3 linked regions of the Saccharomyces cerevisiae S288C genome follow. The gene in region 1 interacts genetically with each later gene. Each region holds a gene or a part of one and is shown on either strand. Other genes may lie near its edges. The genes, in order: CSS3, ATC1 and BIT2.

What was found.
Region 2: mutations in CSS3 (region 1) and ATC1 together harm fitness more than expected from each alone (negative genetic interaction), as found in Saccharomyces cerevisiae (2 studies listed by BioGRID).
Region 3: mutations in CSS3 (region 1) and BIT2 together harm fitness more than expected from each alone (negative genetic interaction), as found in Saccharomyces cerevisiae (2 studies listed by BioGRID).

Annotation. Positions count from the first base shown.
Region 1 is NC_001147.6:16,737-19,529, reverse strand, and holds CSS3 (Css3p), read left to right. Parts: upstream 1-1,733; coding exon 1,734-2,249; downstream 2,250-2,793. Other genes in the region: ENB1 (Enb1p), read left to right, coding at 1-39.
Region 2 is NC_001136.10:830,059-833,295, reverse strand, and holds ATC1 (Atc1p), read left to right. Parts: upstream 1-1,782; coding exon 1,783-2,667; downstream 2,668-3,237. Other genes in the region: SND1 (Snd1p), read left to right, coding at 1-437; UPS3 (Ups3p), read left to right, coding at 823-1,362; PLP1 (Plp1p), read right to left, coding at 3,019-3,237. UniProt on the Saccharomyces cerevisiae protein: Involved in cation homeostasis and in the regulation of the cation stress signaling cascades. Also involved in bipolar budding.
Region 3 is NC_001134.8:742,121-745,997, reverse strand, and holds BIT2 (Bit2p), read left to right. Parts: upstream 1-1,599; coding exon 1,600-3,237; downstream 3,238-3,877. Other genes in the region: EFM2 (S-adenosylmethionine-dependent methyltransferase), read right to left, coding at 1-1,146; SDH8 (Sdh8p), read left to right, coding at 3,422-3,838.

The sequences.
Region 1 (2,793 bases):
AAACAACAATCATGGCTCCGTCGTGTAATTGGATATTGAGCTGGAGAGTACTAGCGATACAAATATAGTGTTAAGCTCTTTCCTGAACTAGAATTCTCTTTGAAATAATCACTGTTAATGTAAGTAGTAATCAATAATGGCGTGTAACAGTATAATATTGTTGTCTGAAATAAAAAACAACAAAAAGTTCGAATTAGTTTTATTTTATTTTTCTTTTCTAACTAAGTGAATATCCATACGTTTGTTACGTTTATTTCAGCAATATTATAGTCTTAAATGGGCTTGACAATACAAAAATCAATGAGATTATTCGCACCTGTCATTTCCCGTAGTTTTTATAAAGAAATATAAAAAAAAATGTTGCGAAGAACTTTTACTAGAGCGTAAACGAATTAAAAAAAATTAGTAGTGTAAATATAATCACCACCTGCCGTAAGCCTGCTTGAGCCCTTTATTATTTAGTTTTAGCTGTTGCTAACCTGACTTTCATACTTCTTATAATTGACGTCATAAAAAATATTCAAAGTTCGAAAGAATGAAGAAAACATTGACCGACTTAAAAGAAGCAGTAACCCCACGAAATTTTAACCAGTGCTGATTGTGCGAGAAATCGACTCCAACAGTCTCAGATCAGAGAATATATGAAATATTAGTGGCCCCATACTTATAATGGTTCGCTGATTAATGTATAACAAGCGTGAAAGTATGTATAGCTGCACGGATTGTAGATAGAGCTCATTTAATATTAGGTATTTTGCCCATGTCATTTTTGTGCAAGTCATTTTCTCCTTTGGAACTAAATTTTCTTTAAAATATCTCATATACAAAAAATCCTAACTCACAAGTTAATGTTTTCCATCATAAGTAGACGTTTATTTAAAACATGTTATTATATATTGATCCACTCTTTGCAGTGTCGTTTTCCTACAAAAATTAGATACTTAATCTTGAGGAGTGTAGAAATAAGTGAAGGCGACATAAAGATAGAGAAACAGCCATGAAATTTAGTGAAAGCTGACACTCAAGAATTAGGAATGTAATAAGATAATGAATCACAACATATAAAATGGAAAGTGAAGTAATAATACTATTCTATAGAATAATCGACGATCCTTCATGAATTGCTATATATCTGAGGAGAACTTCTAGCATATCCTGCATACCTAATATTATAGCCTTCAATAATAATGAAAATCCTAACAATTATCCAATTATTCACCAAATTCTCTATTTCAACAGTAGTATTATGGCATTGATTATATTGCAAGCTATAGATTCGATTTCATGAATTCATAACACTCTAAAAGAGAACTTCTGCAATACTCTGTACAAATAACATTATTACTTTTACTAAAAATAGATTTCCGGACACTAACTTTTGAATTCTTATCAAAGCAGTCGAATGCCGCGTCCTACGGTTTATGTATATAGATTTAAAAATACACGTTAAAGACTGTTTTCTCCATAATTCTTGTTTAATATACCTATGAACATAAGCGAGTCAATCAAACTCGGGAGTAAAATGCTTTAAGGCACGCCGCTTAACCTTTTAAAATACATGTCTGAACATTATGTAACCAAACTAAAATTGCTTTTAAATGGATCCGCGCAATATCTAAAAACATTAACTATAAAGGATAAAAATTTTGGACAAAAAATAGCAGTAGCATGTTTGCTTCCTAAGCGTTTGAAGTCAAAACCATTTTTAAAAGGGTAGAGAGGCTTAGTAAAAAATGGTTCCCTTATTTGGTTTATTTTGCATTTTTTCTCAATTGTACTCATTATGCTCCGCATATGTTGATATCACCAGCGGTTACCAAGTATTTTTCAACTTGCCAACTAATATGACAAACAATCAAATATGCTGGCTATTCCAAGCATCTTACTATGATATTTATTCTGATAAAAGTGGTAGAACACTTAGAACGGGACGGTTTGAACCCGGCGATCAGCAATCTTTGATTTATAGGGATACCTTAGTTGAGTTGGAGGCTATTACAGATTCTTATGAGTACAGTAACCTAGATCTATCGACTTATAACGGACCTGAGCCATATAATTCTGAGACTGATTATTGTACAGATATAATGGATTTGGTAATGCGTGTATATGATGAAGAAGGACATTATGTTCATCCAGTTGCGAATAACTCAACAAATGCTTGCGCTCATCCAACTCCTCCTACGTTAAACAATCTATTGATAAGTAATTATTCTGACGGAAGAAATTATAAAGAGTCTTCTATATAATGGTGTAGTAAGGATACTGGAACCCTTTTATGACACATTTAGCAGTAAGATACATTTTTGGTTGATGTGATCAAGATTTTTTAGTTTGTAGATTTATTATATAGCACTGGGACATCATTAACATCGCACTTTCGAGTTAATGTATGTATACACAACATCGAGGAACAACAGCATCTAGGGTTAATGACATTGTATTGTATACTTTCGTTGTGCTAGTGGTGGCGTGATGCAAGAAGCTGATACATACCTGAAAATGAAAGAGGACGTAGCTATACGGTGTTTGTGGACGAGTTCACATACAGTACTGAAAAAGATGAGGATGGGCTGAGATAAAGTTTGAATGATAATGAATATTATTACATCTTCTTTCATTTTATATACCGTCATTCATTATCCCATGAAATTATCAAGCCTCGCGTTTCAACCTCTACTAAAATCGTTGACTGTTTCTCAATATTTATGTCTTTCTTACGTTGTATACGATAATATACACGTACTATGGATACTAGTCGATATATGATAGTTAATTCTCATTCCAATAAAA
Region 2 (3,237 bases), on another chromosome or scaffold:
CACTAAACTTCAAGTCCAGAACGCCTACAGATGCGTTGATGGCGAATAGCATTAAAAATAGTAACAATTCCAGTCATAGGTTACTAAATCTCGAGGAAGAAGACCAAATCATGTCTGGATCTCTCCCCAAAGAACGCGAGGACGATAACGATTCGACTAATAGCACAATAGTACCGAATCACCCAGACAATGATAACTATAATGATAATGATAACGACAATAATACTGGTATAAATTCCAATAATTTCAATCTAAATCTCTATGATGACAATGATAGTGCAGGCTTTACAGATGTAACAACTGAAGGAGTGAAATACTCAAACTCGAATTCTACAGTCACCAAACCCGTTTATAAAAAAGCCGTCACCCTGGATTTATACGGCGAAGATGATATGGATAACATGGGAGGATGGGTATTAGGAGGTAATGCCCGGTAAAATAATCACCTGAAAAAAACTAGGTTAAGCACAAGGCAAGGGAAAAAGCCAAATTACACATATACTTGATTATAAATAGATTAGTAAAACATATATTCTAAATTAAAACAGCACTTTAACCGATATTGTATTTTTTTTTTTGGGTTTACGTGATACTGCGTAAATCTTCAATTTTCAGGGCTTTGTCCGCAAGGGGCCCGTTTATTTATCAAAAAAAGTAATGAGATTTTCGAAGAAAGTTCATAAACCTATAGATCTTGTTACATTTGGCAAGAAAACAATAAGTGGGATCTGCGGTCCAAGCAACGCATTTTCTTTTCTCTAATCGACAAGTTCAAGTAAATATTTCTATTAGTCATATATCTCTCGAGCTTATATATTAATAATGAAATCATTTCAAAAATCTTATGAATTCGATTACCCATGGGAGAAAGTCACCACGGCGAACTGGATGAAATATCCAAACAAGATCTCCACACACGTTATTGCAGTCGATGTGCTCCGCCGAGAGCTCAAAGAACATGGCGATGTACTTCTTACAGAACGGCTGATAACCATACGTCAGAACACCCCTCACTGGATGTCCATTTTAGTGGGGAACACTAATTTAGCATACGTGCGAGAGGTCTCCACCGTTGATCGAAGGGACAGATCTTTAACTATGAGGAGTTGCAATATGACCTTCCCGCATATTTTGAAGTGTTACGAAACCGTACGTTATGTTCCTCATCCGAAAAATCCATCGAATGTGACTCTTTTCAAGCAGGATGCAAAGTTTCTGTCTGGTGTTCCGACCAAAACCTTTAGTGAGAAAGTAGAAAACTGGGGCGTTAAACGTTTTAGTGATAACGCGGTGAAGGGGAAAGTCGGGTTTGATAGTATTCTAGCAATGTTCAACGATATCTGGAAAAATGCTAACGAATAAAAAAAAATACATCTTTTCTCAAGCATTTTTTCTCAAGCATTTTTTCTCAAAAAAATAAGGATTTATAGCCTCTTTGCATATAACTACACTCAGAAACTCAAAAATAAGTGAATAGATTAATTTGCCAAAATAGTTTCTATAGCGTGTCTTTCTCTTTTTGCAAACTCGTGTCATCTTGATATAAATCAAATATTTTCTGTCATTTTTTTTTCTCTTTTTTTTCAGTTTCTAGAATTTTTTTTTTCCACTTTAGCGATGAGATGAAAAATTTCCAAAAAACATGCGGTACGGTATTTTCAATGAAAAATTTCAGAGGGCTAGTGCCCTATTGAAGAGCTCAATACTTGATTGAAGTTTTGACATCTTAAATTTTGTTGGTTCAAGTTACACTAAGGTTGTGATAGGGAAAACGTGAAGATAATGAACACGAATCAGTCCAATCCGAATACAGATTTAACAGATGATGCCAATATAGAACATACGTTGCATCGGCTGCTCACTCAGGCAAATAATCATTTTGATGATACAGTAAAGATTGATGGGCAGAGTTTAGATTTGGGAAAGGATCTCGAACAAGTTATGATGGATAATTTAGACTGCACTGATATTTTTGATTCCGACATCGCTTCTCAGAAACACCTAACATTGGAATCTTTATTTAACGATGAACACAACACCGATTCGAGCACACTTTTGGAAATGCAGAGAAGTGCTAATGATAGCCTAGTTGGTATTGATCTCGATAGGCATAAAAAGGGTTATACTGGCAAGGCATCATTAGATAAAAGTACAAACCAAAATAACGTACATAAACCTGATAAAGAACAAAAGAACTATAAGATAGATAAACCCACCATCAAGAAGAAAAAATCCCTTTTGAAAACCACAAATGAACCCATGTTATCCCCTGCATCCCTATCACCTTCATCTTCGTTAGCTTCATCCGACGCTAATGAATCCCACCTAAAAATAGAATCCATGATTACTGATATAACATCTAAAATAGATTCTGCAAGACAAGACATTGTATCTGCAACGAAGCCTGCTAAGTTCACAAATGAGTTTACAATAAGTCAAATTTCGGAAATGAAGGCAAGAATAATTAATACTCATAAATTGCTGCTCAATTTCAATTTTATTAAAGAAGGTTACGCGAGATCTTGTATTCAATTGAAAAAATCTATGGACTCTTTAAAGGATAGTGAAATTCACAGAGCACATTTATTGGTTGAGAATGATGACTTGAAGCAACAAATCCTAGAACTTACTCAAAAACTCAATGAAAAATCATCCAAGGAAAGTTAAATTTAGAGTTAGTTCTGCTAAGTTTATCTGCATTTATTGGTTTTTTTGTCTTTACTACAAAGATGGTCCAATTTTATATACAATATACACTACCTTTCTCAGTCATCGTTATTCGTACTCAACTTTTATTATTTTAAGGAACACAGTCGCATTTTTGAGTTTCATGTATAAACATTACTATACGCATATTTCGTATTTAACTTTCTATAAATCCCCCAAAACGTTTTATTAAATTTTCAACGGTACGCTCGAATAACCGATTTAGTTTGAACAGGAGGAACCATTTTCGCTCATGCGTATGGCTTAAAAGACCATCGAGTCATTTTTAGTAGGGAGGTAATGGTTATTTAGTTATATATCTAAATCACTATCACTTTCACTTCTATCATGATTTGTAGAAGCGAAGCGTTCCGTATTCACAGATGAATGCTTTCTTATTTCGAATGTGTCTTCTATAACACCTGAATGGGCTAAAGATTGCTCTAGCCTCCTAATATCAAACCCATTAGGGTCATTTCCCAGTTTACTAAATCCTACGTAGCGAACTTTTTCTAGGCCATTCTTGTATCC
Region 3 (3,877 bases), on another chromosome or scaffold:
AACCTCTCGTTCTTTGGCGTATTTTGCCCTTAAAGGTATTTCTAGGTGACAGGTCCCTGATGCCGCCAAAAACTTCGATATCATGTTAACTACCCATTCCGGATGCTGAGGCGAATATATCGGGTCGGCGATCAATATGACGTCAAATTCATTTTCATGTCCAAATTTATCTATAAAATCGTGAGGATTAGTCCAATCTAATATCTCTGCTTGAACGAAATCTCCTAAATTATTTAATGACACATTTTTCTTCAAATTCGTCACAATCTCGGGTAAATCCGTCACGAAGATTTCTATATTTTCAGTTCCATAAAGTTCTTTCCATTTTAAGGCCCATGAAAGTCCTACTAAACCAGTGCCCGCTCCTAATTCTAATACTTTAATCTGTTTGATGTCGCTGTTCGCTAACATGTTCACATTAGTGGTATGTAGGTAATCCAGGTGATCTACGACTAATTGTGAAAGTATTAAAGATGATCCCCATGTTTTCCAACCAAGATTATCGGCCGTTAAAGAGGGTTCATGAAGCGGTATGGAAGTGCTTAGATTTCTTAATTCAAAATATCTTACTATGGATGGTTGGGCCGTTCTCCCACAGTTTTCGGATATCCTTGAGCTCAATTCCTTAAGAAGTTCTTGTATGATTTCCTCATTCAATCCGCAACTATTATTGTATTTTTTCAATACACTAGTATAGTAGCCCAACAGTAGTTCTTTGGATACTGTAAATCTCAGCATTGGGATTTTATTGCATATCTTTTCCAACGAGTTTAACCTCTTGTTAGGCCATTCTTCTGTATACCAAGTCAAAAGTCTTTTCAGCAGATCGGGTTCCAGCCCATGACTCTTGCAAACCTCCAGTACAGATTTGTTCTTCCCTGTCTCCTGATTGAAGTTTACTTGTCTATCGGGCTTCAGAAGTATTAGTATACAAAGGATAACTTCTGGCGGAGCATACTTCACGGAGGGCAGATCCAGATTATCGATAATGGTGTCATCGTCGTCACTCTCTTCTTCATCTACAGCCGTTAATATTTCGTCACGTTGCGGTGAGCAAGGATCTTTTGGCTCTCTCTCTGCTAGATTGAACTGTAAAGCCTCAACCTGGATGTCATCAGGGGTGTACAAATCGAGAGGATCAAACATAGTGAAATATCCGCTATGGAACTCCTAACTTGCATGAGTTAGATACTTGAAAAGTAATATACAGATTGCACTACTATTATTTTGTAGCTCATCGCGAAATTGAAGAAAAAATTTACGATTGGAAAAAAAAAAACTACTATCAGAAATAGGTGAACCAATTTTAATGCCTGGATAGAGCTGCATACGCTACTAGCTTAAACCAATATTGGTGTCGCCTGTTTTCCTTTACCCAATCCAATATACCACTATACTGCGAATGAAGGTGTTGAAATAATTTGACAAGAGCACTTTATCCATTTTGCATGCGACCTTTACTAGCAATTTTTCAGCGATCTTTGCGGGCTTTAAAATAAGGTCAAAATTAAAGGGAGAAAGATAGAAGACAGTAAATAAAAAATACAAACCACAATAAGCATAAGTGGCTAGGCGAGTCTTAAACTACAGAGTCAAGCAATGGCAACAGACCTAAATCGTAAAAGAAGTGCTACCTCAGGCTCACTGAGCGTCACGAACCCGAACATAAAAGCAACTAATCGCAAACCAGCTAGAGTTTATAGTGTTTCTTCTGATATAGTACCGCAAGCGCTGACACATCCCGACGAAGATGTGCATCTAAAAACATCCAAATCTCCTCATGATGCCGCTCCTAGATGGTCACAGGTGGGGTTTCAATCTATATTCCATGATGGTTCCAATGCAAGGCGCTCGACGGATTCGATTGAAGAGGAGTACAGCCAAGGCACGGAGAATAACGATGGTCACTCCGAAATAGGTTCATCAAGTAGTAACCGAATGGAGGGGAACACCACGTCTAATGATAGTTTATTTTCTTCCAACTCAAGGGGCAATAAAAGGCGACTGTCCATCTTCACCAATTCAAAAGATAATATGAGAAATCGAAGCAGGAGCGGGTCAAAAAACTACGGCACTGTTATTACCGGCACAAGTAGTAACAACATAAGTAGGAGTGGCTCTAAATTGTTTCATACGAAATCTAATATGAGTGTGAACAGTTTACAATCTTCACTGTCTACAGGACATTCTCATTCAAACAAAGGCAGTAATGTCTTTAGCAAAATGGCAAAAAAGCTTTTACCCTACAAGCCGCATAATTCCATTGGTAAAGACGACGTTGAACCCGTAGTTCCCAGCCCATTCAGTAAATTTCTGCATTCTTCATATGGTAAACATAGGTCACCCGTACAGTTTATCCATACTTCTACTGGAGGCCTTATTGACTCTGGAAAATCTGTATATTCCTTTAACCCTAGCATTAACAACAACCCTAATGATACAGCTCTATCGCTGATCCAAGATGATGCTTTCGACGCGACTAATGTTTCTTTACTACATGATTTACTGAAAAACTTGCCATCCTTGATAGCAAACTATAAAAGCTTCACCGTACAGGAGTTATTTGTTCTGGAGGGGAATATCTGGGGTATATACTGCAGCATAGTTGTGGAGCTATTTAAAAACAAGAGGGTATGGCAATTGCCAGCAAAAATAGAAGATATTGACCGGCTGCTGGAATTTTATATCACTTTGAAAACACAAACCAAGGCTGCCGTAACGCACTCAAGGTTTTTGGCCGAAATCGAGGAATTCATTACCACTTCACTTTACATTTTAGAGAACCAGATTGTGTTCAATTATGCCAATGAGGATACCGTAAATACGGCTTTGAAAAGAGTCGGCATAATCTGGAAGGTGTTTTACCAACAGGTTTACTACGACATGATGGCAGTGTTACTGCCCTTCGAGAAAAGCTTCCAAAAAAATAGTAACTACTGGCTTGACGGATATCTATCTGAACCTTCAAGGTACGCACCGTCAATTGATGTCCTTTTATTAAAGTGTTTTAGAGACTCCATCATTCTTCCGTATTACGAAAGCTTCCTACATACAAATGACGGTGCCAGTAAGAGTTTTCAAAGATATATTTTCAGCGAGGAAGAACAGAACGGCGTCACAGAGGAAGATAAACTGACGCTGCTGCAGTGTTTTGGGATCCTGAATACCATAAAAGGTAACAGCAGAAACCAAAGAATTATTGGTGAACTTCTTGAGGGCATACGCATGAGTATATAATTAAATATTTTATTTAGTAATATACAATAGTGGCATATAGATAGGTGTATTTCCTTTTTCTTGTTCCAAGAATCCGGAAAAACAGATGCTCTTTTCCGCCCTATAAAGGGGCCAATGGGGAAAGTGCAGATCATATTAACTTGCTAAAGAGTCAGAAAGAACCAAATAATAAAAAGAAGAACTAATGTTGTGCGCCATCAAAAGCACAGGTTATCGGTATCCTCGCACGGGAGCCTTAAATCTACTACGTGGACGACCATTTAATATGGCCACCCGAAAAATAACTACTGAAAGGATCCCCGGCCCTCCCAAGCTGCCAAGAGAAGAGCAGGAAGAGTTCGAAAGACTTCAGAGGATTGCCACATCGCAAGAGGCAATAGATCAGTATAATGCGCAGGCCACCGGCGATCGTACAAAGGAGAGTTTGAATTCACCGCTTTTAACCAAAAACGATATTGGGTCATTCTCGCCTGAATTTTCCAAGACCATACCTGAATTCGAAGGTGATGTTAACCCCAAGACTGGTGAAGTTGGGGGTCCCAAGCAGGACCCGTTGAGACACGGCGATTATTCGTTTAACGGAAGAGTAACGGATTTCTAGATATTTGGTCCGGCCAATTTTTAATAATACTATTCTTAT